Linked DNA regions of Oryzias latipes. The protein of the gene in region 3 purifies or fractionates together with the protein of the main gene of each other region. This does not show direct contact. Links are inferred from orthologs where the notes say so. Each region holds a gene or a part of one and is shown on either strand. Other genes may lie near its edges. The genes, in order: ciao1, mms19 and pole.

Region 1 (9,807 bases), about 5.1 Mb from region 3:
ACTGAGCTGATTATGTTTATTCTCCAAAAAATGTTTTACAAAATAAAATAAAAACCTCACTGCAGAGATGCTGAAAGAGCCAAAGGAAAAAACACAATTGGATGTATAAACCCAGTTTTGTATTTATTAGTTACAGTCCATATATACTAAAAAAAACAAACAACTTTTGATGCTTCTGACTTTTTTGGGGGCTTTATTAAAAGTATGGGAGGATTATTTTCTTTAAATGTGGGGTAGAGGTCACAACGCCTTTTAACCTGATACGGATACTGCTTCTTTGTTTCATCCTCAACCTCGAGCTCAACTCTTTAACTCCGGTAATCCCACTTCTTCTGCCACCTGGAATCTTCTTTCTTTCACCTGACACTCTGTGTCCTCTAACCTGACCTTGTCACTGGCGTCCCTCATCGCCTTCTTCATCTATCCCAGAAAAGCCATTTTGCAACAGAGACCATTTGTGCTGCTACCTTTGTCCAGCCACGCCTTCTTTAGAGGATTTGCCTGGAAAAACTACTTTCCTGTTGTCCAAACTGAGCTTAAGACTGTCTAAACTATTTTTACTGCACCTGTCCTTCCTGCTGTCTGCTGCCAGAAAGAAGACTTTAACCCCACAACTTCAAGAAGCAGCGCATAGAAGAATCCCTGTTTCCCTAAACAAACCCTTTAGTTCAGCAAAATGCATAACAAAATTCACATATTGTGCAGAGAAGCGTTTTTTTTAAACAAGAACATTTTATCTGGCATCCAATTATTATGAAAAAATTAAAAATGTCTAATTTAAAACTATTTCTACATTCGCACATTTAAAATCAAAGAAGGAAAGTAGCTTTTTTCATTGAAATTATTCAATAATGAACCATGCACCTCTTTGCTTGTCACTTCCAGCTGCTTCTCTGGTGTCTTCAGAAACACGTGGTGAAATTTGCCTCACGATTGACTGTCAATTGAGGTTGTTTTCAGGCATTTATTAAGTCAGCAGCACCTTACTCTTACATACCCGATAGGTTTCCGTGAACGGTGGAAGTCCTTCAGCACCCTTTCCACATCATTATGCAGCTTAAAGTCTTTGCCATCCTTCATAAAAGAGGATCTGAAGAGTCAAGATACATCCATTAGTCTTAGTTCTTTGCGTTCAGTCACACCAGCTTTTACCTTTGTGTGTTTTCAGTCTTTTTTTTTTTGTGGTTATGTTCCTCACAGATTCTTAGTGATGCCGTAGCCTCCAGGGAAGATGACGGCATCAAAGCTGCTGGCATCCAGGGAAGACAGGTCCTGCATTTGCATCTTTCCCTGCCCGTGGCTGAAGCGCGCTGACTCAATCATCATGTTCCTGTTTATCAGTCAAACATGACCAAAAGTAGTTCCAGTCAAGTTGAATATCAAAACTATGACATTAGGGAAGAACAGAGCTCTTCTTAAGCGTGTCAAATGAGTGGCTCCAACCTGTTCTCCCCAGAAGCTGGTTGCTTTTTCATGTGGTCCATCACGTTCATCTGCTGTTGATTTGGGGCAAAAATCTGGAAGCGAGCGCCATTTCTGCTCAGGTGGTACATGGTGCTAAACACAAGTGTTTCCAGTTATGGTCATTCACTGGTGTACAAAACTTTCCTGATCTTCTCATACTCACTACACGCCCTCATGGACGTCAGTTCCATCCCACCATCCGCATCCAGAGAAAACCTAGAGTATAAGGAGAAATTCCAGCAATGTGTGCCATGATCTCATTACTGATCTCACAAAGTTCTGCTTAACCTACCACAGCGACATTGGTGTTTCCCCAGTTGCCATAGTCACCCTGGTGAACAAAGCAGGCAGGCTGGCGGAAAAAAACAGCCAGTGTTTGTTTAGAAAGCAAAGCCCTGGTTCCCAACATGGTTCTGCTTTGGTCTCACGGCTTTGAGAGGAGAAATGAAACGTTGGAGTTTCTCACAGAGCTTTCCACGACCTCTGATAGTCCTGATATTGATCCGAGTGAAGCGGCCTGTATATATACCTCCATAGTGCAGCCAAAGTGACGTGGCCACGTAAGACCATTGTCTTATCACACCTGCACTTGTTTCCCCACTGAACTCCCTTACCTACGCCATTACCGCCTTCACCGCTCCCCTAATCAACTTATTTAACCACAGAGGGACGCCTCCTGACAAATCCAATCAATATCTTTGTTTGCCTTTGATCTTCATGGGATTTGCTGGTGGAGAAATTGTGTTCAATGTTTAAAGCAGCTGAGTGACATTCCATATGCCCTTTAAAGTCCATTAGATTGTAAGGCTCTTACTCTCTAGTAATGCCATGTAGCGTCTAGACGGTGAACCCAGAAATATCCTTGGCAGATGGAAAAGACAGATCAAATTTAAAGGCTTCAGTTAGTTAGTGGAAGGCTGACATTTGGTTAAACTCCTGGACGCCTCAGTGGGATGTAAACCAGCAGGACGCAAAATATGACTTTGACTTTATTAGAATCAGTTGATGTAAGCAATCAATATGTACATACTGCTGACAGTATAGCAAAGATTAATAGTGGAAAAATGTTGTAAAACCAACTCGAAACACATTAGCCACAATTCCAAGTCTGAACTAAGTGAGAAGATTTGGGCTGAAACGTAAAAATTGCACACTAAAGAACTCATGCATGGGTACAACATGATGGATCCAACACACAGTCACAAAATACAAATAAGAACAATTCAAAGACAAAAAATAAAAAACAAAATAACCTTACATACTCATCCTGCAAACACTTTTCTTGGGCATCTCCCTTTCTTTACGCCCCCACCTTACAACAAAAACACCCACCCGGGCTGTTTTTTTTTCCTTAAACGCCCAAAATCTCACCCCCCCACCAAAAAGCACAGAATAAAAGACACAGAATATAACCATAGACAAATGTCTACAAAGCAAAAGAACAATCAAAGACAAAAAGAAAAGTATGTGCAATAAATAGGGTCAATTTTCATAAAAATAAAAATTTAAAACAATCTCGTCAGTGTACAGATGAATTTGCATCTATGGTGCATCTAAAAATAAATCATACATATGACAAGCACATCAAATGAAATCTAAATGCTGCTTAGCAAAGCTCCATCTTTCTCCAATTACATCAACAATCTGCTAAGAGCCAGTGTGGCTTTGGCTGCATCATCAAAATCTTAGGGAGTACTGGTTTGCACTCATTGCTTTTTTTTTTAATTTTACATGTAAAGACTAAATTCTGCAAGTCATTTAAATGCAGATATTTAACCAACCCCATGTTGAAATGAAGAATTCCCTTCTAAATGTCTATCACCACCAAATAAAAGCGTTCATGCACCTCAGCACTTTCATTGAATGAATCTGTGCACTAAAGGTACACAAACTGTTTTCGTTGCCAAGAATATTTGCAGAGATATTCATTTGATAAAGAATGTGGTTTGCGGGTCAAGCAAACAGCTGTGCAGAGAGGAAAGACAACCCAAGGCCATGTCGCCGCTTTTTGCTGGCATTATGGTGTGTAGGCAGGAGGTGGCTGAAACTGGTTGGCAATGTCATAGTCAGCAGGGAAAGTCTCGCTGCTGTCCTCCATTTCTGAGAGCAGCTCCAAGGCCTGCTCTTCCTCCTCGGTGGGATAATGGCGCAGGAGGTTTGCAGCAGTGGCTAGAATGGAGGCTCCACCAGCACCTGCCACCAGGTAGAAGCTGATGGCAAAGGTGACGTAAATGAGAGAGCCATGGTACTTTTTGTGTTGCTGCTGCAGTGACAAGATCAGTTCCGATGCCCAGTAGCAAAAGCCTATGACTGTGGCACACTGCAACACTGGAAAGACAAAGAAACCAGTTACATTGTAGCAATGTGTTTGATCTTTATTAGAAATGAAAACAAGCACTGTAGATACCTGTTAGTATATGTGCAAAAGCATATCTGCGAGTTATCTTTAGGGCAGGGTGTTTGGGTCCAAACACATCCAGGAGGAACGCAGTTAGACTGCACAGGATGCCAAGGAAACAGAAGGCAGCTATTACCCTTAGCAGCAGGATGGTCTGCGGATTCACACAGTAATCTGAAAAGACAGACGTGCCACAAATTCATATAAATTAAGGCACTCCATGATCCTCAGCTTAGAGTGGCAACGACTTTGTGCTGGTTCTTACCACCCAAAAGATTGGGATCAACGTATCCCAAGACATCTGCCACCCCGAGTTCTTGTCTCGGGCAGGTGCCTCCGTGAATCCGGAGCCAAGCAGGTTCAGCCAGAGCCGTGCACAGCGCTGTGATGGACAAAGCTCCGGGCAGGGCCGACACTAGACTCCGCTCCGGCTGTTTGGGAAGTGAGGTACCGGCTCTCCTCCTCCGACCTCCGGAGACAGCGGGACCCGGTGGGGCATACATAGCTGACCGAATGGCGAATTTTCTGTTGAAGTGGTAGGTTCCTCTTAGCACTGTCTTCCTCTTGACAGTAGTACCGGGTTATTGTGGTATTAGAGTAAAACTACGGCAATTGTCTTCCAGGATATGTCAAAGATTTCGGTGGCGATAAAAGTGCTCAACAATATAAAAACAACAATAACCGCTTCCCTAAAGTAGTCAAAAAATATTAAGGAAAAGCCAACACAAAGAACAGATCCTAAGCGGGCCTTTAGCTCTGTTGTTAGCCTCTGAAGCTAACTAAAAAAAATAAACACTTTACGTCACCAGTTCTCGGAGGAAAGACACTTTTTAGCGAACGAATGGGAAAAAATATAACCTGTAAACATCAAATCCCGCTGATAAAACCGTCCGTCTCTATGATACAAAAAGGAACACAAAACAAAACAAAAGATAGCTTACGCTGTTTTCCTCAAAATCCCTAACTTCCTGTATATGCCATTCTTCTTCGTGACGTTTAGAATGTTTGCTGTACACTACCGCCCCCAGCGGAAACTAAAATAGAAATGTACACAATGTTTAGCATGAAATTTTCTTTGCAAACAGTAATGTAAATATAGATTCATATTATAAAAATACATATATAGGTAGATCACTTTCTTTAAAAATATATAAATGAAATATTACCATCAAAACGTTTTATTTTAGATCAACCCATAATGCACCGGGTCCAGATCCCGATAAGCAAACATGGCGGCATTTCCTAATTTGACGCTTCTTTGAACTTATCTGTGTGAACAATTTTCCTTGGTTAATTTCCCCCTCCTTTTGTTTTAATGTTCATAAAGGTGTATTAATTTACTCGCAGTCCTCTTGTCTGTCGTTTTCCTCATTTGTGACTCTTTTTAGCCTAAATCTTTGGTTAACGGAAATCGAGAAAAGTGTCGAGTCGACGCCTGACAGACAGAGGAGTCACGTTTGCTGGAGCTCTGCCATGAAGGAGGCTATTTCTCTGGTGCAGAAACTCAGCGCACACCCAGATTCTCGGTGCTGGTTCGTCAGTTGGAGCCCGAGCGGTGCGCTGCTGGCTTCGTGTGGTGGCGATAAGGCCATCCGGATATGGGGACAGGAAGGTCAGACTCAGACAGACAAAGAGCCTTCTATTCGAATTTTGCTACGCCGATTTAAAATCAGTGGTTGGATGACCTTACCTTTTTTACAGTTCATGTTTTCCCTTTTCAAGGTGACTCTTGGGTTTGTAAAAACGTTCTGCAGGACGGACACCAGCGCACTGTGAGGAAAGTAGCCTGGTCTCCCTGTGGGAACTATCTGGCCTCCGCCAGCTTCGATGCGACGACATGCATCTGGAAAAAGAAGAACGACGACTTTGAGGTAAGGTTCGTTTAACCTCTGATCTAACACGTGTTCTGGCTCCACCTGGACTCTTTTCTTGTCTTCTAGAGCTTAACTGTGTTGGAAGGTCATGAAAACGAGGTCAAATGCGTGGCGTGGGCCCCTTCAGGGACTTTGCTGGCCACTTGTAGCCGAGACAAGAGTGTCTGGGTTTGGGAAGGTTTGTGTCCTCACCAGCTCTTGCAGGACAATCCTTTGTCACAGAAAACATATAGAGCTGGGTTGTAAACCTTTGTTTTCCTTCTTCACAGTGGACGAAGAAGATGAGTACGAGTGTGTTACAGTGGTGAACTCGCACACACAAGATGTAAAGCATGTTGTGTGGCATCCCACGCAAGAGGTAGGTCTGCACTCAGTCCTTCACCATCATGTAGTTGTTTTATTATTGTTGCTATTAATTGTTAAAGTGCATCTTTAGCCATATTTATGATCTACGTGCTGTTTTTAATAGAGCCATGGTAACGACGTTTGTGGGATCAATAAAGTTGTATTTTATTCTATTTCCGCAGCTCTTGGCTTCTGCCAGCTACGACAACAACATCTGTATTTACAAGGAGGAGGATGATGACTGGGAGTGCAGGGCCACTCTGCAGGGACACACGTCCACCGTCTGGAGTTTGTGTTTCGACGTGACGGGACAGAGGCTGGCGTCTTGCAGCGATGACCGCACTGTGAAGATTTGGAAGGAGTATCCAAGTGAGAGTGGTGAGAAGATAGAGGGGTAGTTTATGACATAAATAAAAAAAAATAGGATATTTTTTAATCACAGAATGTTTTGTTTGGTCTGCTTTATTAGGTGATTTGTCATGGAAGTGCGTTTGCACTCTGTCGGGTTATCATGGACGAACAGTGTACGACATTGCCTGGTAAGACTAAATACTTACACTACAGCAGGGGTGTCAAACACACGGCCCGCGGGCCTTATCCGGCCCGCCAGGTGGTTTACTCCGGCCCACACATGAAGAGTAAAAATCAAAAGGATGATTAAAAAAGAAAGCAAGTTTCTAGTCCATTCCTGTGGCGAATTATGATTTTTTAAAGAAATAACAGAAATGTGCAATTCCGCCACTAGGGGGAGTAAAGGAAAAGAAAAACAGTTGAAACAGCAAATATCTGCATGTGCCAAAAGCGAAACATAACAGCTCTGCGTCTGGGTAGGATGCACCTTGGTTCCCTATGAGCCTTACCGCTGTTATCTTGCTATAAGGATGATCATTAGCGACACCCTAATGACCAAAATGCTGTCAAACGTGAAGTGGAGGGAAGAGCCTTCCAGGAAAATTGGACAGAGTTTTTTCTTTTTTTCACGAAGCTGAATGTAAAACCCAAATGCTTTGTATGTCATCAACATCGCAGTGCTCAAAGAATATGACATTCAGCACCACTAAGAGACTTATCATAAAGAAAAGTTTCTGGATTGCTTCAGTGTCAGATGTAAAATATTCAGACTGCATTAATTTGAATAGACCAACTTTTCTTTAATTGAAATTAATTTTATTTGAGCTCCATTGGCCCCAAGTGATTAGGCTACTATGTTGATTGAGACATTTTTTCCAACTGAATAAAAAACTAAAACAAAGCTGTTATTTTGCTTTTATGTTACTGGTCCGGCCCACTTGAGATCAGACGGGTTAAATGTGGCCCCCGAACCAAAATGAGTTGGACACCCCTGCACTACAGTCTGGTGTCTGATTTTTTTTTTTTTACTTTAAAAATAGATTCTATTTACAGAGTTTTTAAAAAGTTGCCAAAACAGATTTTCTTCTTTGCTTTTTTGGCTGTACCACCACTAAAACAGCGCTTGTCATCAGTCGGCTGAATCTTTGTCCCCTTTACTATTATGGCTCAAACAACTGTCTGTTGCGTAGGTGTCGACTGACCGGTGCCCTAGCAACTGCCTGTGGCGACGACGCCATACGAGTGTTTAGGGAGGATCTCGCGGCCCATGCAGATGAGCCGGTGTTCTCGCTGGCTGCTCAGGTGAAGAAGGCTCACTGTCAGGATGTGAACTGCGTCGCCTGGAACCCAAAGGAGGCCGGCCTCCTGGCCTCCTGCAGTGATGATGGAGACATTGCAATTTGGAGGTTTCAAGAAGAAGACTGAACCTGCTGTGGAGACACCAGCAATTGGATGAAACCCTGTGCTGAACTTAAATGTTCTTTTCTTTTGCTATATAAAGTCATGCTTATACAGTTATCTTTATAAATCTGAATGATTGTAAAATGTAAAGTTTAAGTTCTATTTTTATTCACAAAAGTGATGATGGGTGTGCTGGTTAACTGTTTTTAGTCCTACAACTTAAAAGGAGCAAGAAACTAGTTCTGTTCTGTTTACATCTAAATACATCTTTATAGCAAAAAGCAGGTTTTCTGTAAAAAAATGATTTAAATAAAGCCTCAAACCCTTGGAGTGATCGGAGACTGTGCATAACTACTGTACACCCAAAAAATGGAAAATATATATATATATATATCCCCACACCTGAAATGTCTGAATAAGCTTGCAAAAATGTATTTTGGAAACGGAAATAAGTAACTGCACTGAATGAACTTGTTTTCAAGTTTGGTAGTTGGGTTTACCTTTGTGCTATCTTAGACGACCCCACCCTTACTTTGACGTGTTCTCCCTACCATGATAAAGGTGGAAAGATTTCATGTAATCCATGGACACCAGTGAAGATCACAAATCATTGAAGAAAAAAAGGTTCAGAGCACTGTCTAGTGGGTCTAGATGACCCAACTCCCAATGGTAAAGTGCCTAGGATAGCACAACACCACTATCAGTAGTCAAAGCTCACCAACTGGCTTGCACTGTTAATTTAACCCTTGTGCTATCCTAACATTGGGAGTGGGGTCATCTAGACCCACTAGAAAGTGCTCTGAACCTTTTTTCTCCAATGATTTGTAATCTTCTCTGGTATCCATAAATTACATGAAATCTTTCCACCTTTATCATGGTAGGGAGAACACGTCAATGTAAGGGGGGGGGGAGTCGTCTACGATAGCACAAGGGTTAAACCCAACTACCAAACTTGAAAACAAGTTCATTCAGTGCAGTTATTTCCATTACCAAAAGACATTTTTGCAAGCTTATTCAGACATTTCAGGTGTGGGGATATATATAGGGATAAAGGGAGGGGATCAAGAACAATCTTGTCAATATCCATTAAGTGCTGTAGTGACATGAGCTTGTAGCATAAAAGGGGCCAGACTAAGAACTAATTGTTTCATAATAAAACTATAAAACAATTTTCAGATGTTTTTATTGCAAAAAACAAACAGACAGCATGAATGATTAAACGGTTTAACCAATCCAAAAAATCTTATGACGTTTAACCAAAGTAAAATGGAAAGTCTAATCTATTTAAACATGCAATGTGGATGAGACTCAGCTGTTCAACGGCAGTTTAAGATGTCTTAGACTTATCTTTGAATAATTTTGTGAAAAGTACATCAATGGTCAACGTAAAGAACACAAAACTTCTGAAAAGCTGTTTAACATACAGGATAAAACGATTGTACTGACTACGAAAACATGTTATAACACCCACAGAGAACTGACAGGGTCACTCTCAGAGATTGATCGGGGTAAATATCTACATATAAAACCTGATCCCATTATTTATTGAAAAAAAAAAAAGGATTAAAAATGTAGAATTTGAATTTCCAGCTTAATCTGAATCGCTGTCGCTGTCTGCCTCCTTCACGTCCACACTGAACTTGTACTCCTGATCACAGCCCATGTAAGCGTCGCTCATGAAGTACAGCGTGTAGTTGTGAATGCCCATCGCTGGTGCCACAAAGTCCAGCTTGACCTACACAGAAGAACCAAAAATGAAAACTGTGGTAGTTTGCGTATTTTTGGTTAGGGAGTGTTCAAAGCAGCGGCTCACCTTCGCTTTTTGTTGCAGAGTCAGCCTCTTGATTGAGATCAGGCTGTTCGACTTCGGGTCTCCGATCACAACCCACCAGCCCTCCTCACGTTTCTGCAACGATGAGACGATCAAACGATGAAGCAAATGTAGGAAACACCTATAGGGAAGTGGACAGCCAC
Region 2 (9,882 bases), on a different chromosome or scaffold from region 3:
AAGATAAATAAATGACTCATCTTCACACAAAAGTGTGACTTTTTTTTTCTAAGTCCCTGCAGGAATTTTTTTTTTTTTTTTTTAATTATGGGGGGTGGGGAGGGGGGGTTGCAACCAATATAAATCAAAAACAACCAATGGAATCAAAAACATTATATCCAACCTGCAGACATCAAATTGTTTTTAACAAAACTTCTGGCCGTTTCTAAAAACGCGTTTGAAGTGATTTGCATTCAGTTCTCTTCTGGTTTTTACAGAAGTTTGTTGCAGATTCACCGTTCTTTAATGTTTTATCTGATCAGAAAAACCTGTTCCTGCTTCTTTGTGTGATCTGTCCGAGGTCCTGAACGGAAACCAAAACCTGAACAGGATCCGCAAAGTCATCAAGGAGCTCATGAATCTCATTAGGGGAAGAAAATGTTCTAAAACGCTAGTGATTTTCATTTTTATTCCTAAAATCAGTCAAATTGTTTAGTAAAAAGATGTAATTCCGTAAATAGATTAAGAGAAGGATTAAGTTAAAAAATAAATCTTAACGTTCTGGATTTTATTCATTTATTCCATTATTTCCTCTCTGAATCAATTCTGTTTCATATACAGAACTGTTTTCACATATTTAGTGGTTTAAATTAAACAAAAGTGAAACTTTTACCGTTAAAACCTCAAACTTGGGACAACATAAACTTCCAGAAAATGTATCCATGTTTTTATGCATCCACAGGACATTTTTAATTCTGCTCTGATCATCTTTTGATGCATTTTCAAAGTGTTCCCAGTGGTTGTTTAGCCATGATTATGACATTGTTAGTCTGTCGTTTTCTAGGACATAGTTTCTGCAGAGAGGAAGGCGTTCTTTCGACATCCACCTCTGAGTTGTTGGCAGGACGGTGGGTGCAGAGCTAAGCCGCAGCTGATATCCCATCATCCCTTTGTTTACTTGCTCTCCCGTTAGCTCACAGCCCCTCACAACCACAAGCTAACATTAGCGGTGCAACAAAAATGGCGAGCAATCCAGTTTAGATCCAGATTCCAGCTCAGACGAGGAAAACAGAGACGTTCATGGATGTGTTTGTCTGCAGGTGGATGATCAGAATGGAGCAGAGCAGGGTGCTTGTAGCCCCCCCCCAGTATTTTCTACGACACCAAAATGATCTTTTTCAAACTGCATCTTTTCAGTCTTTAAAGAGATTTCTGAAACGTTTGATGGGAATAGTTGTGGTAAAGCAGAAATAAGAGGAAACGCCTGGTTGGTAAGAAATAGAGCACATAAAACGACACATTTCAGACCGGAGGAACAACTTCAGTCTGTTTCTCTCAGCAGCAGCAAAACCATTTCTCCCTTTTTGAGTTTGGATGAGACGCCTGCATTCCTCAGCAGCGTCCTCTTCAACGCTTTTGCAGCTCTGAGGGTTGATGGTCGTTGATGGTCGTCCATCATCGCCTGCGAGCCTTCAGCTGTCAAACTCAGGCGCTTGTGGAAGCTCATCAGCAGCAAAAACCTTCACATTAGCAGCTGAACGAGGCTGACCTGACCAAAGTCGTGACCACAAACAAGGATTCACTCACACATTTCATCGCCCAATTTCTGCTCCGTCACACAAGCGTCTGCAGGTTGGAGAGTCAGCGATTGCCGCAGGGCATGATGGGACTTGTTCTCTGTTAATGAGGGAGTGTCTGACGGCAAGCGAAGCAGGAAATGAGTCACAGTAAAATACGAGAGGAATGTTTGCTCCGACAGCCTCAATAAATTCTAGACACTAACGTGCAAAAACACACTCAGCCCCAGTGGTTTGATGCTCTAAGCAATGTGAACGGTGGCTGCCTGGAAAAACTTGGTTTTATCCTGTAAAACTGGAGTAAACGCCAACGCAACACATATATGGACACACGCCAAGGTGACCTTATATGACCACAGCTATCACTGTCAAAAACACAGAAAGGTTCAAAGCAAAACCCTCAGAGAGACTGCTGTAAACATGTTTCAAAATAAGAGCATACAAATAAAAAAGCAAAAATAGAAATCATTTCAAAATAAAACCAAGGTAGAATTAGAGTGCAAGCACATTCATGTAAACATCTTCGCTTAAAGAAGCACTGCCATGAAAATGGAGTTTTAAACGTGTTCTTGTAGCATCTTTTGATGATGGGAGGACAAATGGAAAGAAAATGAAGCTCAAAATTCCGTTTCTGAGTGTCTTCTTTATTCAAATCAATGCAAATCGGGAGCAGACGGAAAAAAACGTGGTTTGGAAAACATCGTATTTGTGATGAAGAAACAAGCTTCCTGCTCCGCCCCATTCTTAAGCATCCACCTGCATGAACGACGAACGTTTTATTTTAAAGAACTCCTGCCACGCCGCAGGAGCTCCGATCAAAGGTTCAAATGGAGAACATTTCCTTCAAAGCAAGCTGTTTGACTCCCTTTTGTTTTTTTGCATTTGGCCTCACAGGTCGACCGTCCTCTACACTCTCGTGTGCTTCAACTTCAGCCGGACCTTTCGCCAGGTTAAGAGATGCACAAACATGGAATAAACAATAGGTTTTGAACTTTCTATACACGCATTCTACAAATAAATGTGCGTTGAGTGTGTATGTATGCACTGCAGAAGATTCCCAAACTTTTGGGCGGATTACAGACAATACTTGTGCAAACAAAGGAGAGCAGCTATTCCACCACTTCTTATGCAGGTCAAGGTCAAACGCAGAGGAGGCCACGTTCCTGTTTGCACCCTAAAACCAGCGTTCAGAGGCGCTGCTGCATCACGTGATCACGTGATCCATTCAGTCACAGGTTCCTCAGGTACCAGCTCACCTGCACGCATTCAAATGTGTGTCCTTTCCGGGTTCAAGTCCAACCAAATCAGCTAAAGCTCGTTTGCATAGTAGTTAGGGTCAAACAACAGTGTCAGGTGTCAAATAGTTGAAGATAAATGTCAAATAAGAACATAAATAATACCCCCCCCCCCCCCCCCCCCCCAGGTTTAATTAACCTACATTTAGCTCGTTTTCTTGTCTTTTTCTATGACTCTGCTGCATTTGCTACTCTAAAGTGTCATATAAACAGCAAACTCCGAACCCACCGTTCCCGGACGAACCTCGGCTCTGTGACTCGTCCCAGCCTCGCCAGTACCTCCCCACGCATCCTCCCATGGCCGGAGGGGCTGTGGTCGCTCCCCGCGGGGCTTCACTGGCTTCCAACGGGGCCCATGGCGACGAAGAACCGAGTCCGGCGAAGATCAGAACCCGCAGGTGCAGCGCTGCTAGCCGGATATGTCATCCGGTGACAACAAGGCGGTGAAATCCGGTGGGAACCGTTAACAACTTTTTTTCTGTTGTCTGAATAACCGGTAAAGTTCGGTTTAGTTGCAACTGTAAACAGAAAAGCTTTCTTGCTAACAGGCTAACTGGGCTAACCAGCTAGCTCCGCCAGAAAACACAAACTTCCGCGTGCTCGATGTCATTTCCCCGAGTTTTATCTTCCCTATAAAAGGGTCTGGAGGTAGAGCTTCACTCGGAGCTGAATGCAGAACCGTATCACGCCCTTCACGCGCTCCCGGACTACTTTTCTTCAAAAGACTTGGAAAAACTCCTCACTTTCTGTTGCTGCTGGTTGAGAAAGTGTTCAGAAACGAGCTAAGGCAGGCGAACTTTTCTGCACATGCGCAGACAACCAGGCAGGTGGGTCTGAAGGAAACGTAAATAAATGATAGCAGTGACGTCACAATAATGGTTCAAACCGTCTTTGATATTAGGAGAGAAAAAACAATACACAATGACAATAAGTACATTTTAAAAGGGCACAAAGTAAAAATACTATCAATAAAGTACAGATTCTTATGAATATTTCACTTTTTTGTAGGTATTTTTCAAACTTATCCAAACAAATTAGGATTTTTCCATATAGTTTAAAAAAATACTGAACAAAAACGTGTGAATTCCAGTTTATTATAACGTCACATGAAAACTTAGATAGAATGAATGCAGTCATACGATGAACAAAAAAATATTTTACGTAGTTTAATATCTTCTGGGATTTTAATCCAGATCATGTTATCAAACGGTTTCAGCTTTTAGTCCAGCTTGAAACATATTTCACTGCTTAATTAATGCACTTATAAAAGTATGACATCTCCAATAACACCTTTATGACCAAACAAAAATGATCAAGCTTAATAAATTGTTACATTTATACTTGTTTATGTTTTTTGAGATACTTTGAATGTAATGGTGTCTTGGACATAAATGTGTCGTTCTTTTGTGTAAAATCTCTATATTTATTTTATTTAAAAGCACAAACAATATTTTTTAAAAATATATTTATATTTTTTCTTAACCAAGAAAAAAAAAGTTGGACTTTGGCGTTTGAACTTTCTGCACATGCGCAGTGTCAGCAGCGTGGAGGAAGCGCGATGGCTGCGGACGGTGCCTTGCTGCTGTCTCTGGTGGAGGAATTCGTCTCCGGATTGCAGGACAGCAAAGCAAAGGACGCCGCTAAAGGTACAGCAGTCGTGTCCGGTGTTTGTCCTCACATTTACCAGCGGGTTTGTGTGGAAAACTGAGCTGGAGCCGTTAGTTTCCCATAAAGGTGCGTGGGGGTTAACTAGCTAAACTTAGCGTCACAACATCCTGTGCGGGATGCTGCGTGAGAAGCTCCTCCTGACACTAAACATGTCATGAATCTGCCCTTTTTCCGGGGCGGCAGGAACTCGCAGCTATCTTTGTTTACTGAAACCATGACTGTACCTGCAGTCTGCTGTGGTCTCGTGCCTGCTGCTAGCTAGCTGCTGGCTGGGCGCGAGGAGGATCCTGTCATTGAACCCTCAACCCCCGATTTACCTTTGATCCCGAGTTTGTCTGTGTGGGCAAAGCAGGGAAACACGTCCAGACTACCGAACCGATTCGGTTCCGATTCAGCACAGACCTGATAACTTATGACGTATCAAATTAAAGGAGTTTTAATTATACCCAAAGTAAACAGAGGGGGATCTTTCAAAATAAAACGATCACTTATGTCAATCAAATTTACTGAAGTTTGTTTTTCCCCTGATACTATATTTATTTAAAGGCTGTTATGACGGAATACTGAGGCCACCATGAAAGAAAAGCAAATATTTGACAATGAAGTTGTAACATTATAAGAGAAAAGTTCAAATTTTTACAGGAATTCAGTCGTGAAATTATGAGGAAAAAAGTCCAAACTTTATTATGAGAATTGAACTGTAAAATAATCTGAGAGAAGTCTAAATTTGACGCAAATAGTCCTAAAATTTTCCAAAAGAAATGCATATTAAATCAGTTTTTAGTTTTTTCCTTTTAAAATTCAGACTTTTATTTATTTACTTATTTGAAAAAGTATGACTATTTCCTTGCAATATTGCAACTTTTGAAGTAAAACATTTACAGCTTTATGTTAGAAAATTGTCGTTTTCCCTTTTTTTAAAGTTTTTTCTTGTACATTTTTTTTCCTTGTAAAATTTTGTCTTTATTTTTCTCAGAATTGTACAACTTTATTCTATATATGTACTCATTGTTTCCGTTACCGTGGTCCTATTTGCACGTAAGGCGGCGGGCGCGTTCTTACTTCGACCTCCACTGCAGCGGCAAAGGAAAGCGATAAATACGCTGATGGTTCACATCAAGCAGCCAATCAGAATTGAGACCCGGACCGTGGTATAATATGGATTATTTAAGCTTTTGTTGACATATTATTGATTCTTGCTCAGGTGTCAAAGATGGAGCGTTTACAGTTTTGCAGTTAGTGGAAGCGTTGGGGTGAGCCTTTGTCTTTTTCTCCTTTACTTTTTTACAAAAACACAAAAAAGTGACGCCGTTCTTGTTTTCAATCGACTTCCCGTCCACCCGCAGGCCCAGCCTGACCAGCTCGCAGCCGCAGACTCGCGCCCGCGGCGTCCAGCTGCTCTCCGAGGTCCTACAGGACGGCCGTGCAGAGCTGTCGCAGAAAGAAGGTCAGAACACCAAGCCTTTTCGTCTGCTCAAAGTGAGGAGCGTTGTTGACATCCTGTTGTCCCATCGCAGTGGAAGTGCTCATGGCTTTCTACCAGAACCGCCTCAAAGACCATCACGTCACCACTCCGCCCGTCCTACGGGGGCTGCTCGCCTTGGTAAACTTGGGGGACCCGGTTTCAGACGGAGGCGCTGCTGGAGCCTCCTTGTAAGTTTGTGTTGGTTTCTCCTCAGACCAAGTGTGCGGCGCTGCCTCCCGGCTCGGCCGTGTCCATGCTGAGGTCGCTGTTCCAGGACGTCCACGTCCAGGTGAGGTTCTCCATGAAGAAACCAGGATCTCCTCCACTTCCTGTTTTCCGGTAAAGGTCTGCTCCGTGCCGTTTGTCTCGAGGTCTATCTTGACGTTGTTGTTTTTTGTCTCTCAGTCGCTGATGCTTGCAGAGCGAGCGTGTGTCTACAACATGCTCACCAACCTGATGGAGACCAGGGAAGCCGGTAAGAGTCTTCCTCAAAGTGAAGGGGTTCTGTGCTGCCCGTCCCAGGAGATGCAGAGCCATCAGAAGCTTTATAAAGAGAGAGGCGCTTCTAGAGTAGAGGATCTAACCTGATCTAGAGGATCTAGCTGACATTTGTGAGACCGTGCTCTAGTGGTCACTTGGTGAACTGCGGGTCGCTCCAAACCAGTTTAGGCTTGTTTGATAAACTGAATTAATGATTTGATTATTTAAATTCTTTCTAATTTCTCCAATTGTCAATAACGTTTGTTTATAGTATCCATACAAATATCTGACACTCTATGCGTTTGGCGGTCTCTCACGTCCTCTCAATCCTCCATTCAGAGCTGAAGAGTTTGGGAGCCGACTTTGTCTTTGGTTTCGTCCAATCAATGGACGGCGAGAGAGACCCTCGCAACTTGCTGCTGGCCTTCAGGATCGCCAGAAACCTCATCGTCCAAGGATACGATCTGGGTGAGAAGACCTTCCTCCCCCCCCGTCTGTTGGTGATGTCACGGTTTCCTTCTCTCAACCTTCCTGTCTGCTGTCTCAGGTAAATTCGCAGAGGAGCTCTTTGAAGTGACTTCCTGCTATTTCCCCATCGACTTCACCCCGGTAAGTTCCTGTTGACGACGTCTGCAGACCGCCAGAGAAAACTGTTGCTCCTCCCCCCAAAAAACAAGTGTGATCTGGGCATTCGTGCTCCTCATTGGGGTCTCCATCCTCTCCTCTCTGGAGAAAAATCAGCTAAAGTAAAATATGTCGCTCTATTATCTTCAGGATCTGCTACATGTCCCTCTCTCTCCCTGTCTGTCCCTGCCACCCGAGAGCTGCACAAATTCATTAAAAAAACACGCTTTTGTCATAACGGTGCCTTTTATGTACGTTTGTCTCCATAGCAACCATTTCAATTTTTGGTCGTTTGAGGCCGACGGACAGATCAATGTCATTTTTAGAGGAATACATTTTTGGATTTCCTTAGCAACTGAGGTTTTTTGTCAACCCCGCCCACATTCCTAATATGTTCATATCTACAATGTCCTGGTAAAAAATGTGCGAGCAAAAGTTTAAGTCGCACTGCCCCCATCTGAAAATCGCCCAATTTTACACTTTGCCACCTTTTGCCATCCCATAATAATTTCAAAACTTACTTTAAATATCCCTGACATGTGTGTTTTGGTTTTGCCGGGTTTTTTTTGAGCCCCCGGAGATTGTGGGAGTGTCAGCAGCAGTGTCTGCAGCAGCGTCTGCAGGAGCGTCTGCAGCTGTGTCGGCAGCATCTGCAGCAGCGTCTGCAGCATCTGCAGCAGCGTCTGTGCAGATCTCTGACATGGTTCTCCAGGGTTCTGACATCTGAACTCTTTAGATCAGGACGCGATTCCAGGATAACTTTTCATCTAACCTGTCCTCCTATTCTTTTTCCAAAACCCCCTCCTGGTCCACTGCAGCCCCCCAACGACCCCCACGGCATCACCAAAGAGGAGCTGGTTCAGGCTCTGAGGGCCGTCCTCACCGGAACGCCAAAGTTTGCCGAGGTAACGACGGCGGGTCTGCTTCTTCTGACTCGATCCCCTGAGCAAACATTCTCCGGCAAACGTTTCTGTTCGGCTTCCCACAGTTTCTGTTCCCCCTCCTCATCGAGAAACTGGACTCAGAGGTTCAGAGCGCCAAGCTGGACGCGCTGCAGACTCTGGTGAGGAGACACGCCGTGACGCTGAAACAAGACACCAGTTTTCCTCCAGTCTCGTAAAGCAGCACAGTGCATAAACCCGTGCTTTTACTCTGAAAGGGTAAAGGGCGGGAAACCTTTTTCTGCAGAAAACGGACGTCTGAAGTGAATTTTTATTTCTTAATTTTATTTCACCTTTATTTACCGAAGAAATGTCCCATTGAGATCAAGAATCTCTTTTTCAAGGGAGTCCTGGCTAGAAGGAAACAATAAATTATATCTACAATAAAATGTAAACAATTAAAACAAAATAAATAAACACAAAAGCTGATTCAGCTCAGACATGCTGATGTTTAGATCTGCTGTCGCTGCAGTCGTTTGTTTTTTAGTTTTGGACAAAAGAGGAGATGGAAGAGTTCTGTGACGAAATAAAACACATTCTATTAGAAATCCTTTTCTAAACTATCTGTTATTTTGGGTCTTGGCTTAAAGAACCTGATCTTCCGGTGAACTCTCAGACGTTGCTTTCTTTCCGCAGAACGCATGTTTGTCGCGCTTCGAGCACAAGGACACGGCTGAGTTCCTTCAGGGCCTGTGGTCGTCGCTGCGTCGAGAGGTCGCCACGCTCACGGATTCAAACGTTTCCTTCCAAATTCAAAGCTTTTCGTGACGTGGCGTTGCTGCGACGCCTCCTGGCTGCCGCTCAGACCTCGCTCTTCTCTGCAGGTCTTTCAGACGTCCAGCGAGAAGATCGAGTCTGCAGCCCTCGCCGCCCTCGCCGCCCTCACTTCCTGCCTGTCTCGCTCGGTGCTCAGCTCCGAGTCGGAGGACGTCCTCGGACGCTTCCTGGAGGTCGTTCTGAGAGGTGAGCGGCGGTGAGATCGGCCCTCTGAGTTCAGGTGGATGCTAAGGGGAGTCGTGGTGGATGCTCCTGGTTTTTTTTAATAAAGCCAGGCAGGAAAAAAACTAAATTAAACAAGATAAACAGTATAGGGATATAAGGATATTTTTAAATGTAATAAGGAGAAAAACATGTCATGTAATTAGCAGGTGTTACAGAAATTCTCTTAAGGCTTTTATCGTAAAGCTAATGGTAAAAAATACATTCAGGTTGAGCAAAAACTACAAACAACTTATTATGTTTTTAAATTAAAACATTAATCGTGTAAAAATACTTCTGCAGACACAAACCTTTGCTCTCAAACACAAAGGCTTCTGTAACCATGGTAACAGTGTGTGTGTGTGTGTGGGGGGGGGGGGGGTGTGAGGGTGTGTGTGCGTGTGTGTGTGTGGGGGGGGGGGGAAACCTGTTTGAACACAGGCTGCTGAGAAACACATGTTGACTTTCAGTATAACAAATCTAAAAGCACAGAGCTGAACCGGTTCTCTAAACAAACCAGAAGGGGTCCAAAAAGACCCGCTCGGTTCTGTTTCCTCCGGATGAAACCGAATGTTGAGCTCAGAGAAACGGCTGAATGTTCAACACAACGGTTTGTCCTTTGGAACGAACCAACAGAATAGATGTGATCTAAAACTGTTTCTACAGCAGAAAAAGGTTTTTCCAAAGTTAATGCAGAAATTGAATTTACCTGAGTTCTTTATTTATAAAAATGACGTCAAACTGTGCTGACGTCTTGTGGCGAGGCCTCATTCCGGCGCCGTGGGCCTCGCCTGCGGAACTTCCTGAACTTTCTAACATTTTTTGTTTTAGCTTTGATTTGAAGTAAATTTGACACTTTCTAAAGTTTCTGTTAA
Region 3 (9,563 bases):
TAACACACAGTTACACTAGTGTGCACGGCCGCTGGAAATTCTATCCCAACAAACAAGTCCAGCCACATACATCTAGACGTTTGTAAGTCCTCCTCTGTGTCCCACGTCATTTCAGACACCGACTAGGCTAAACACAACTCCTGGCTTACAAGACAAAAAAGTAAATACATCTGAAACTACATGGCGGATTGCGGAGTGTGCTGTGACCTGAGCAACTCCCCGAGTGGTGTTCAAAGTCACCGGCTGGGATTCTTGATCCAATAATAGAGCTGAGATGCTTGGCAGACCACAATAACACAAGTCAATGCAGTCAGATGATAACACACAGCTGAGTGACAAGAAGCCTTTTGTCACATTGCCTCTACCATAAATAGGAAAGAATTTCTACAATCTATACCGTAATATATTTCAAATGATTCCATCTGACTGGTGTTTGTTGTAAACACTGATCTTTCACACGTCAAAAGTTTTTCATAGCAATAAAACATGCCTGTCCTGAAACAGAGAAAATAGGTCTCACTTGATGGTTGAAGGCGTGGGCGTCGGCACTGCAGAGGGCTCCATCTCTGTGGCAGATTTCGGCGTAGAAGCCTGAGATACTCCGCTTGGAGGCTTTGTGACCAGGAGATCCTCATCTGAAGAGTAATCCTCTGAAGCTCCCAGAATGAACTTAAGGCGCTTCCTCTCCTCGGGCCTTGAGCTGAGCATAGGAGCCGTGGCTCTGACGTGGTTTGAAGTGCTCTTTGGCAGCAGCTCTGAGTTTACCTCAGAGAGAGTCTGCAGAGGATCACACTCTGCTGTTTTGACTACAGAAGCCATAGGTTTGCTGTTGGCTGGATTGTTGTGTTTAGTGGTTAATGAAGTTGAGGGAGCTAATAAGAGTGAGTAGTTGTCTGCATTGGAAGGGGTATGTGCGCCAGAGGCACCCTGCTCAGGGGAATCCCAGACAGAATCCGATCCCTGTCCTTCCACAGACATTACTCCAGTCTTGGTAATAATTCTCCAAAGTAGCACAGATATCCACAGGATGAGTCCCAAAGCTGCAAAAAGGAGCATTCGCAGACATCCTCCTCATACTGGAACGACAAGGTAAACATTATCTTCACATTTAAGAAAATTCTGATTTAAAACAAGAAAAAAACATCAACATTTTTGAAGGCCTTTGTTTTAAAGTTTTATAAGGACTCTTAACTCAAATTAAACAAAGTCTGATACTTTACATCCCTTATTAATTTTTTTCCGGGGGGGGGGGGGGGTTCAAGGTTAAAAGTTTTAAAGTTAAAATGTATGAATCGACAAGACAAATGTTCACAAGATGTTTACATGTGTTGAGAGTCTTTGCTGCCCTCTTGTGGACATCTTTGTAAAGGCATATTGTCTCCATTTTTAAAGTGTTGTGAAGTTGAATTAACAAATCTGTTCATAAACGTTTGGGCAAAGTATTCATATTTGCAACTCATGGTATCTGCTGTTAACAACTGTGAATGAACCTAGCTCAACAAGCTAAATCTTACAGTGCACAAAAGCATATAGGGACCTTCTTCTCTTTAAATTCTTTTTTTGTATTGTTTTGTTTTTTGTTATCTATTTACAAAATAAAAACTAAGGTTAAGTACCAATATCATTGTAAGATTCATAAAAAATGAAAAGAATAGCAGTGTTATTATTTTCTGAGATGCGTCACACATTTGCTGGCTGCAGAATCTTATAAGACATGTACTTGTGAATAAAAATACTTCCTTAAGTCAGATTTATAAATCTTTTACATCTACATTATTGTGTTAAATGAGGTGGAATAAGCAAGGTATACTGTAATAAGGTCACAAGTGTATCAGAGAGCCACACATGCAAACCCAAAACTGATCTAATGAATCATTTCAAAGACCAGTGGAGTCTGGGGGGAAAAAAAAGCATTCAAGGAAAGTTCACGCATGAGAACGTCAGCCGTAATTTATACCAGTAAATGAATCTTACTAGAAAACAATGAAAGTACTGCATTACCAGGTATTTAATTTGATGTAGTTAATACAGTTATGCAATAGTCATAATATTCATTAAAGTTACTAATTGACAGTTTTTCTGTCACATAATCATTTACGATTTTAAATTAAGTCAACATTTTCTAATGGCAATATTTTAATTTACTACATTTTTTTAAATCAAAATAGTTAATAGGCAAATATTTACTTGGCTTAAGATGTAAAGAACTGATAATGTTTAATTTAGGGGACCTCATGACCTTGTTGTGGCCTTTAATGTATTGAGACAACTTGACGTGTTACATTTGTGTCCCTTGCAGTTCAGATATAAGCACATTATTATTTGGACAGCGAGCAGAATGTGAACACAGAAACAGCTTCAGAGGATAGACATTTTAAGTGCACAGTGACGAGTAAAGAAACGATTAAAAAGTGTAAGATAACACCCTCACATCAGCTTAAACATTACGTAGGATTAAACAGATTTACACAAAGTTTCTATAGGTATGTGGGGTTAACGGTGCCAGCGGGTCCTGGCAGGAGACATTCCCCAGCAAGGCTCCAGTAAACAGGCTGAGAGGAACAGCTGCCATCGGAGCTGAGGGTGGCTCCTCAATGCAGGCTAAAGGTCAATACTGAGGGACAGAATGTATTTTGTACTGAAATGGAAACATCCATGCAATCAGCCTTTACAAACATATGGATGCACACGAGAAGAACTGTAAAAATGATGGGCTATACCATTTGCAGTTCATGCACAACAAATTGGAATTTCTTAGAAAAGTATCTCATTGAATTTCTAGTTTTAAAAAAAAGGAAATATTTATGGTTTTATGTCAACTGGAGGAATATGTTCCCTAAAAAATACATTAACATATTTTCTTAAAATACTTTTTATGATTCAGAGTTGTGTCCTTATATGTAAATTATTTTTTAAGCATTACAACTTATTTGTTAGTATGTTTCTTTCTATTTGACCTTATTACTTAAAAAGATAATATTTAGAGTATAAAAATGTGACTGATGCTTTAACAAAGCTGGGAATTTGAATTAAGGAACAAATGACTTGTTTATCTAACAGGAAATGTGCAAATATGAAATACATTCGAATAGCGCAGGAAACAACATAATCAGCTACGATCTGAAGGCTACATGCGGGTCAAGGCCACCTACCACAACCACTGCACGTTGTGTCATCCACTCACCGCCGTCCAACACCTCCTTCAGCAGGTTATAATAACACTACAAATGCACATGAGAAGGAGGGGCGGGGTTACAGTGAGGCTCCTCCCAGGAAGAAGAAGAGGAAGAAGAAATCTCCAAAGATCGCACATTTGTCAGAAGTCACACTCCATTTCTCTTTAATTCAAGTCAAGAACAAAACTAATTGTACAATCACTGAAAAGCGTCATAGGTCCACTTTTTACCACCTCTTTATTGCAAATTCTCTCGGAAAATCTGAATGTTGTCAAAAAAAAAATCTTAGTCATAAATTTCCTGGTTTTACATAAACTCATTATTATTAGCGTTTTCATTGTTTTTATCTGAAAGATAAATATTTTTTCTTGTCATAATATGAACTGTAAAAGCCAAATCACCCGAAAGGAAACATTGAAACAACGAATAAATTAGGAGTGAATGTTCTCTTTAATAAACGATTGTTTTCACTGAGTTTTGGTCTCGCGATAACAGCAAGAGCGCGCCAAAGCAAGAAAAACACAAACCCTACCTGCAAAATTGCCGAAGGAACCAGGAACATAAACTTCAAGCGTCTAAACTTATCAAATGTGAATTATTCTACCATTGGAAAAAGACTACTCGTTGACATTATTTTTAGTAGGGAAAACTATTACATAGAAAATGGTTCTTCAAAATAGTGGACGTTACAGGACGGACCGCGGACCGAATGGAGGAGACCAGGAAAACCAGTGAGTGGCTTTTTCACCAGGCAGCTCTTGATTTATTGTTTATCCACCGACAAAGTATGCTATTAGGCGGAAATAAAAATGCTATGATGCTTATGTGTCTAAACCAGGGATGATGGGTCCTCGATGTCGGCCCTCAAGAGGCTGGAGCGCAGTCAGTTCACCGATGACATGGACGCTCGCTTCGGATTCGACAGGATGAAGGAACCGGGGGAGAAAACCGGGTGGTTGATCAACATGCACCCAGTAAGTCCACTTCTAGTCTGCCGCGATTTAGGGAATGGTTTGGAGAGGACACTGACTGTTTTTCATTTACAGACAGAGATCCTGGATGAGGACAAAAGAATGATCAGCGCTGTGGATTATTATTTCATCCAGGAGGATGGAAGCAGGTTTAAGGTTAGTGTAACCTTTAAAAATAGATTTGATTATTCAAATATTTAGTTTAATATTTACCTTGTGATATTTACTGTCTGTAGGTGGCCCTTCCCTTCAAGCCTTATTTTTATATTGCTACAAAAAAGGTACATTTTTTTAACTTAGTTTAGCATCTTTTCTGTGTAAAGAAAGAGCATAATCGGGTTTTGTTATTCCTAGAACTGCGAAAGAGAGGTCATATCATACTTGTCTAAGAAGTTTCAAGGCAAAGTGGCCAAACTTGAAATGCTTCCAAAAGAAGATCTAGATCTGGTGAGTTTAAAAAAAAAAATCAATGTGGATTTGGTTTTAATCAAGTCAAGTGGATTAAAAGAAAAAAAAACACCTGCTTTACCCAGCCAAACCATCTCGTTGGACTGAAGAGAAACTACATCAAGCTGTCGTTCAACACCGTGGATGACCTCATCAAAGTCAAGCGGGAGATTGCTCCTGCCGTGCGCAAGAACAGAGAGAGGGAGCAGTCGCATGATGAGTACACCTCCATGCTGTCGAGGTATCAACAGCTCCTCTAAGCTGATCTCCCGTCTTAAGATGAGTGTGATGGAGACGTTTCTCTGCTTTGTTGTTGCTTTAGCGCGTTGTCTGGAGTCGGTGTGACCACAGCAGACGAGGACGGGATGTCAAAGAGCATCGTCGATCAATTAGACAATGTGGTGGACATGAGAGAGTATGATGTGCCTTACCATGTCCGACTGTCCATCGACCTTAAGATCCACGTTGTAAGAAGAACTTGACAATAAATTGTATTTACTTTTTGGACATCTGGCTTTGCTTCATTTAGTGTCTCTACTTCGTTCAGGCTCATTGGTACAACGTTCGCTACAGAAGCAACGCTTATCCCCTAGAGATTATCCGCAGGGACGATCTTGTGGAACGACCAGTAAGAAGATTTTTATATTCCTTTTTTAAAACGGTATCTGTAAATAATTTCTGCTCATACAAAATAACATTCTGGGGTCTTTAGTTCATAAGTTTCACAGAAATCTTCTTACAGGATCCAGTTGTTTTGGCCTTTGACATCGAAACCACCAAACTTCCTCTGAAATTCCCAGATGCAGAGAGTGATCAGATTATGATGATCTCCTACATGATAGACGGGCAGGTGTGTTCAACTTCAAATGGTTTTTTTAACAAATTTAAAAAAAAAAATCTTTCAAGTTGTGTTGTTTCACACCAACCCCTGTTTTATCTCCTCAGGGGTTCCTTATTACAAACAGAGAGATTGTCTCTGAAAACATTGAGGATTTTGAGTTCACCCCCAAACCTGAATATGAAGGGCCCTTCACTGTTTTCAATGAGGACAATGAGGTTCGTAGCTCTCACATCGTAATTATAACAACAGTTGCAGGTCTACAGGTCCTTGAAAAACATACTGTTTCTTTTCATTGGCTGCAGGCTGCTCTCATACAGAGGTGGTTTGATCATGTTCAAGAAACAAAACCAAACATCTTTGTGACGTACAACGGAGACTTCTTTGACTGGTGAGTTTGTGTGTCAGTATATGCACAGAATTTTGAGGAATTTCTCAACATGGTTGTTCAGCTGCACGAAGACCAGAGCGGCCAGATCAGGCTCAATAGCGACCTTTCAGACACTTTCCCCATCATCAACGGCGTAAAACAGGGCTGTGTCCTGGCACCCACTCTTTTTACGATCTTCTTTAGCATGATGCTAAAGCAAGCCACTGATGGCCCTGATGACGAGGATGCCGTGTACATTCGCTACCGCCTCGATGGCAGCTTGTTCAACCTGAGACGACTGAAGGCTCACACCAAGACCCGTGAGCAAATGATCAGTGACCTCCTCTTTGCTGATGACGCAGCTCTCCTAGCTCACACCCAGAGAGCACTTCAGCGACTAACTTCCTGCTTTGCAGATGCTGCCAAGCTCTTCAGACTTGAAGTTAGTCTAAAGAAGACAGAGGTCCTCCACCAGCCAGTACCTCGGGAAGTGTACCAGCCTCCCCATGTCTATATTGGAGAGACAGAACTAAAAGCTGTCCAGCAGTTCACCTACTTGGGGTGCACAATTACCTCAGATGCCAGGATCGACAAAGAGTTAGACAACAGGCTCGCCAAGGCGAATAGTGCCTTTGGCAGACTCCACAGTCGGGTGTGGAACAACAAGCACCTGAAAAAACCCACCAAGATCAGTGTATACAGGGCAGTTGTGGTGACCACCCTTCTTTCCGGCTCTGAGTCTTGGGTCACTTACCAGCACCATCTGCGAGTCCTCGAACGTTTCCACCAGCGCTGTCTACGCACCATTCTTGGCATCCATTGGAGCGACTTTGTCACCAATGTTGAAGTCCTCGAGAGGGCAGACATCCAAAGCATAGAGGCCATGCTTCTTAAGTCGCAACTGCGGTGGGCTGGGCATGTACACAGGATGGAGGACCACCGACTGCCAAGGATCACTCTGTATGGCGAACTTGCATCAGGCCAGCGAGATAAAGGGGCACCAAAAAAGAGATACAAAGACTCTCTTAAGAAATCCCTTGGTGCTTGTAACATCAACCATCGTCAGTGGTCTACTTTGGCAAAAGACCGTGACACCTGGCGCCAGTACATCAAAGACGCTGTCTCCTCTTTTGAAGACAAGCGACGGACTAGGCTAAAAGACAAACGGCAAATGAGAATAGCCGGCCTCACGACTGCACCGAATCCAGAACAGACTTTCACCTGCAGCCTCTGCTACAGGATCTGCCTTTCCCATATTGGATTGCTCAGCCACGAGCGAGCTTGTAGAAGACGTGGACAGCCCTCTTCATAATCTTCGTTTACGAAGCCTCGCCATGATATGCACAGAACATTCTACAATCTGGTTTTTGGTGTGATTTTTAGTGTCGTGTAACACTCCGATTATAAGAAGATCTGATGTTTCATCTGAATTTAGTTTTTAAAAATGGAAGAAAATAGGCAACTAAAACTTTTAATGCAAATCATTTTGACTTGTTTTTTTCTCTCTAGGCCTTTTGTTGAGACTCGAGCTGCCGTCCATGGACTCAACATGCACAGAGAGATCGGTTTCCAGAAGGACAGCCAAGGAGAGTACAAGTCCAGCCAGGCAATCCACATGGACTGTTTAAGGTGTCAACACAAACGACACAGTATCATATTGAACGGTATTTTTAATTATACAGATTTATCACCACTTTCTCCTGTTTCAATGTATCAGGTGGGTAAAAAGAGACAGCTACTTACCCGTGGGGAGTCACAATCTGAAGGCAGCGGCAAAAGCTAAGTTGGGTTATGACCCAGTTGAGCTGGATCCAGAGGAAATGTGCCGAATGGCAACGGAAGAGCCGCAGGTATTTAAAAAAAAAAAAGAACCAGGGAAAGTTTTAAAATTAAATAGATTTTTAATTTCTTTTCTTTTTTCACCATTTTTTCCGCTTTTTTCTCCTCAGACCTTAGCCACATACTCTGTGTCAGACGCAGTGGCCACATACTATTTGTATATGAAATATGTTCACCCCTTCATCTTTGCGCTGTGCACAATCATCCCAATGGAGCCTGATGAGGTCTGTTAGAAGCATTTTCATAAAAGAACTCTTAAATCCAAACATTTAGTTTATTTTACTGATGATTAGTTTTTTTCTGTTTGGGTCTGTTCGCCAACAGGTGCTCCGGAAAGGTTCCGGGACTCTGTGTGAAGCCTTGCTCATGGTGCAGGCCTTTCACGCCAACATCGTGTTCCCCAACAAGCAGGAACAGGCCTTCAACAAGCTGACAGATGACGGCCATGTTTTGGATTCGGAGACCTACGTGGGTGGACACGTGGAGGCGCTGGAGTCGGGAGTGTTTCGCAGCGACATTCCCTGTCGGTTTAAAATGGTACTGTCATGTTTGCTCCACCCCTTTTTGCCAGTTGTCGGCACAGTCCGACTCTTTTAAAACTAACAGTTTGGCTTGACTCGTTGACAGAATCCAGCTGCGTTTGACTTCCTTTTGCAAAGAGTTGAAAGAACTATGCGCCATGCTATCGAGGAGGAGGAGAAAATCCCTCTGGAGCAAGTTACTAATTTCAATGAGGTGTGTTGGCCTTTTGTAGTTGGTGTTCTCTTCATGCTGGTTCGTGCTTTTTAGCCCCGATCACTGTTCTGTCAGGTTTGTGATGAGATCAAAGAGAAGCTGACTTCCTTGAAGGAGGTTCCAAACAGAATTGAATGCCCACTCATCTACCATCTCGACGTCGGAGCGATGTACCCCAACATCATTCTCACAAACCGACTGCAGGTAAAGTTTATATTTAAAAAGTACAAACCGTAAAGCAGTGTGGATTTAAGTTTCACTTCTCTGTGTGAATTTTTCCTAGCCGTCTGCTATGGTAGATGAAGCCACCTGTGCTGCCTGTGACTTTAACAAGCCTGGTGCGACCTGTCAGAGGAGGATGGCCTGGCAGTGGAGAGGGGAAATCAGTAAGCTGTCCATAACTCTGGAAATCAAAAACGATTACTTTATTTTAATGTTTTCATTCTGCCTGCAGTGCCTGCAAGTCGCAGTGAGTTTCACCGCATCCAGCAGCAGCTCGAGTCTGAGAAGCTACCCCCGCTTTTTCCCAACGGCCCCCCCCGGGCCTTTCACACACTCAACCGGGAGGAGCAGGCCAAGCACGAGAAGAAACGTCTGGCGGGTATAGTCCGTCTCTTGCATCTGTTGCTTAAGGTTTCGGTTTTGTGCAGACCCCAAAGCATAAGTGGATGTGTCCTTTCTCTGTGCCAGACTACTGTAAGAAGGCCTATAAGAAGACGCACGTCACCAGGCTGGAGCAACGGGTCACCACCATCTGTCAGAGAGAAAACTCTTTTTATGTCGATACAGTCAGAGCTTTCAGGGACCGGCGGTATGAATTCAAAGGACTTCACAAGGTTTGTTCTCTAAGATAAATCACGTTGAGTTATCTGGACTTTAAATGGTCATAGTTGTGATTTACTCAGTGCTGTATTATTGGCTGTCTAATATATATTTTTTGTTAAAGGTGTGGAAGAAGAAGCTGTCGGCAGCTCAGGACAGCGGAGATGCTGCAGAGGTGAAGCGCTGCAAAAACATGGAGATCCTGTACGAGTCTCTTCAGCTGGCCCATAAGTGCATCCTTAACTCTTTCTATGGTTACGTCATGAGGAAAGGGTAGGGGGTCATTAAACAATAGTCAGATTTGCTTCTGAGATGTTTGCCATCTTAAAGTTGCTGTTTTTGTCTTTCAGGGCACGCTGGTATTC

What was found.
Region 1: the proteins of pole (region 3) and ciao1 purify together in Homo sapiens (affinity purification with western blotting; 3 studies listed by BioGRID, with this or other methods). This does not show direct contact. The link is inferred for Oryzias latipes from reciprocal best matches to the Homo sapiens genes POLE and CIAO1.
Region 2: the proteins of pole (region 3) and mms19 purify together in Homo sapiens (affinity purification with western blotting; 3 studies listed by BioGRID and IntAct, with this or other methods). This does not show direct contact. The link is inferred for Oryzias latipes from reciprocal best matches to the Homo sapiens genes POLE and MMS19.

What each region holds. Positions count from the first base shown.
Region 1 is NC_019867.2:18,357,674-18,367,480, forward strand, and holds ciao1 (probable cytosolic iron-sulfur protein assembly protein CIAO1), read left to right. Parts: upstream 1-5,059; 5' UTR 5,060-5,335; coding exon 5,336-5,474; intron 5,475-5,584; coding exon 5,585-5,733; intron 5,734-5,802; coding exon 5,803-5,914; intron 5,915-6,005; coding exon 6,006-6,094; intron 6,095-6,263; coding exon 6,264-6,459; intron 6,460-6,550; coding exon 6,551-6,620; intron 6,621-7,622; coding exon 7,623-7,857; 3' UTR 7,858-8,167; downstream 8,168-9,807. Other genes in the region: ES1 protein, mitochondrial-like, read right to left, coding at 998-1,090, 1,199-1,330, 1,444-1,557, 1,628-1,680, 1,757-1,873; tmem127 (transmembrane protein 127), read right to left, coding at 3,482-3,792, 3,872-4,036, 4,128-4,365; snrnp200 (U5 small nuclear ribonucleoprotein 200 kDa helicase), read right to left, coding at 9,425-9,568, 9,647-9,739. UniProt on the Homo sapiens protein: Key component of the cytosolic iron-sulfur protein assembly (CIA) complex, a multiprotein complex that mediates the incorporation of iron-sulfur cluster into extramitochondrial Fe/S proteins.
Region 2 is NC_019877.2:1,645,935-1,655,816, reverse strand, and holds the start of mms19 (MMS19 nucleotide excision repair protein homolog), read left to right. Parts: upstream 1-3,570; 5' UTR 3,571-3,678; intron 3,679-4,385; 5' UTR 4,386-4,409; coding exon 4,410-4,497; intron 4,498-5,723; coding exon 5,724-5,772; intron 5,773-5,865; coding exon 5,866-5,966; intron 5,967-6,036; coding exon 6,037-6,122; intron 6,123-6,198; coding exon 6,199-6,273; intron 6,274-6,389; coding exon 6,390-6,459; intron 6,460-6,803; coding exon 6,804-6,932; intron 6,933-7,011; coding exon 7,012-7,073; intron 7,074-7,906; coding exon 7,907-7,993; intron 7,994-8,076; coding exon 8,077-8,151; intron 8,152-8,665; coding exon 8,666-8,743; intron 8,744-8,853; coding exon 8,854-8,992; intron 8,993-9,882. Other genes in the region: ubtd1 (ubiquitin domain-containing protein 1), read right to left, coding at 3,081-3,150. UniProt on the Homo sapiens protein: Key component of the cytosolic iron-sulfur protein assembly (CIA) complex, a multiprotein complex that mediates the incorporation of iron-sulfur cluster into apoproteins specifically involved in DNA metabolism and genomic integrity.
Region 3 is NC_019867.2:13,279,453-13,289,015, forward strand, and holds the start of pole (DNA polymerase epsilon catalytic subunit A), read left to right. Parts: upstream 1-3,662; 5' UTR 3,663-3,839; coding exon 3,840-3,907; intron 3,908-4,014; coding exon 4,015-4,150; intron 4,151-4,222; coding exon 4,223-4,303; intron 4,304-4,383; coding exon 4,384-4,428; intron 4,429-4,501; coding exon 4,502-4,594; intron 4,595-4,680; coding exon 4,681-4,835; intron 4,836-4,916; coding exon 4,917-5,061; intron 5,062-5,141; coding exon 5,142-5,222; intron 5,223-5,336; coding exon 5,337-5,444; intron 5,445-5,539; coding exon 5,540-5,650; intron 5,651-5,737; coding exon 5,738-5,823; intron 5,824-7,311; coding exon 7,312-7,431; intron 7,432-7,519; coding exon 7,520-7,652; intron 7,653-7,751; coding exon 7,752-7,865; intron 7,866-7,965; coding exon 7,966-8,178; intron 8,179-8,268; coding exon 8,269-8,376; intron 8,377-8,451; coding exon 8,452-8,580; intron 8,581-8,659; coding exon 8,660-8,762; intron 8,763-8,830; coding exon 8,831-8,977; intron 8,978-9,066; and 5 more. Other genes in the region: acacb (acetyl-CoA carboxylase 2), read right to left, coding at 521-1,056. UniProt on the Homo sapiens protein: Catalytic component of the DNA polymerase epsilon complex. Participates in chromosomal DNA replication.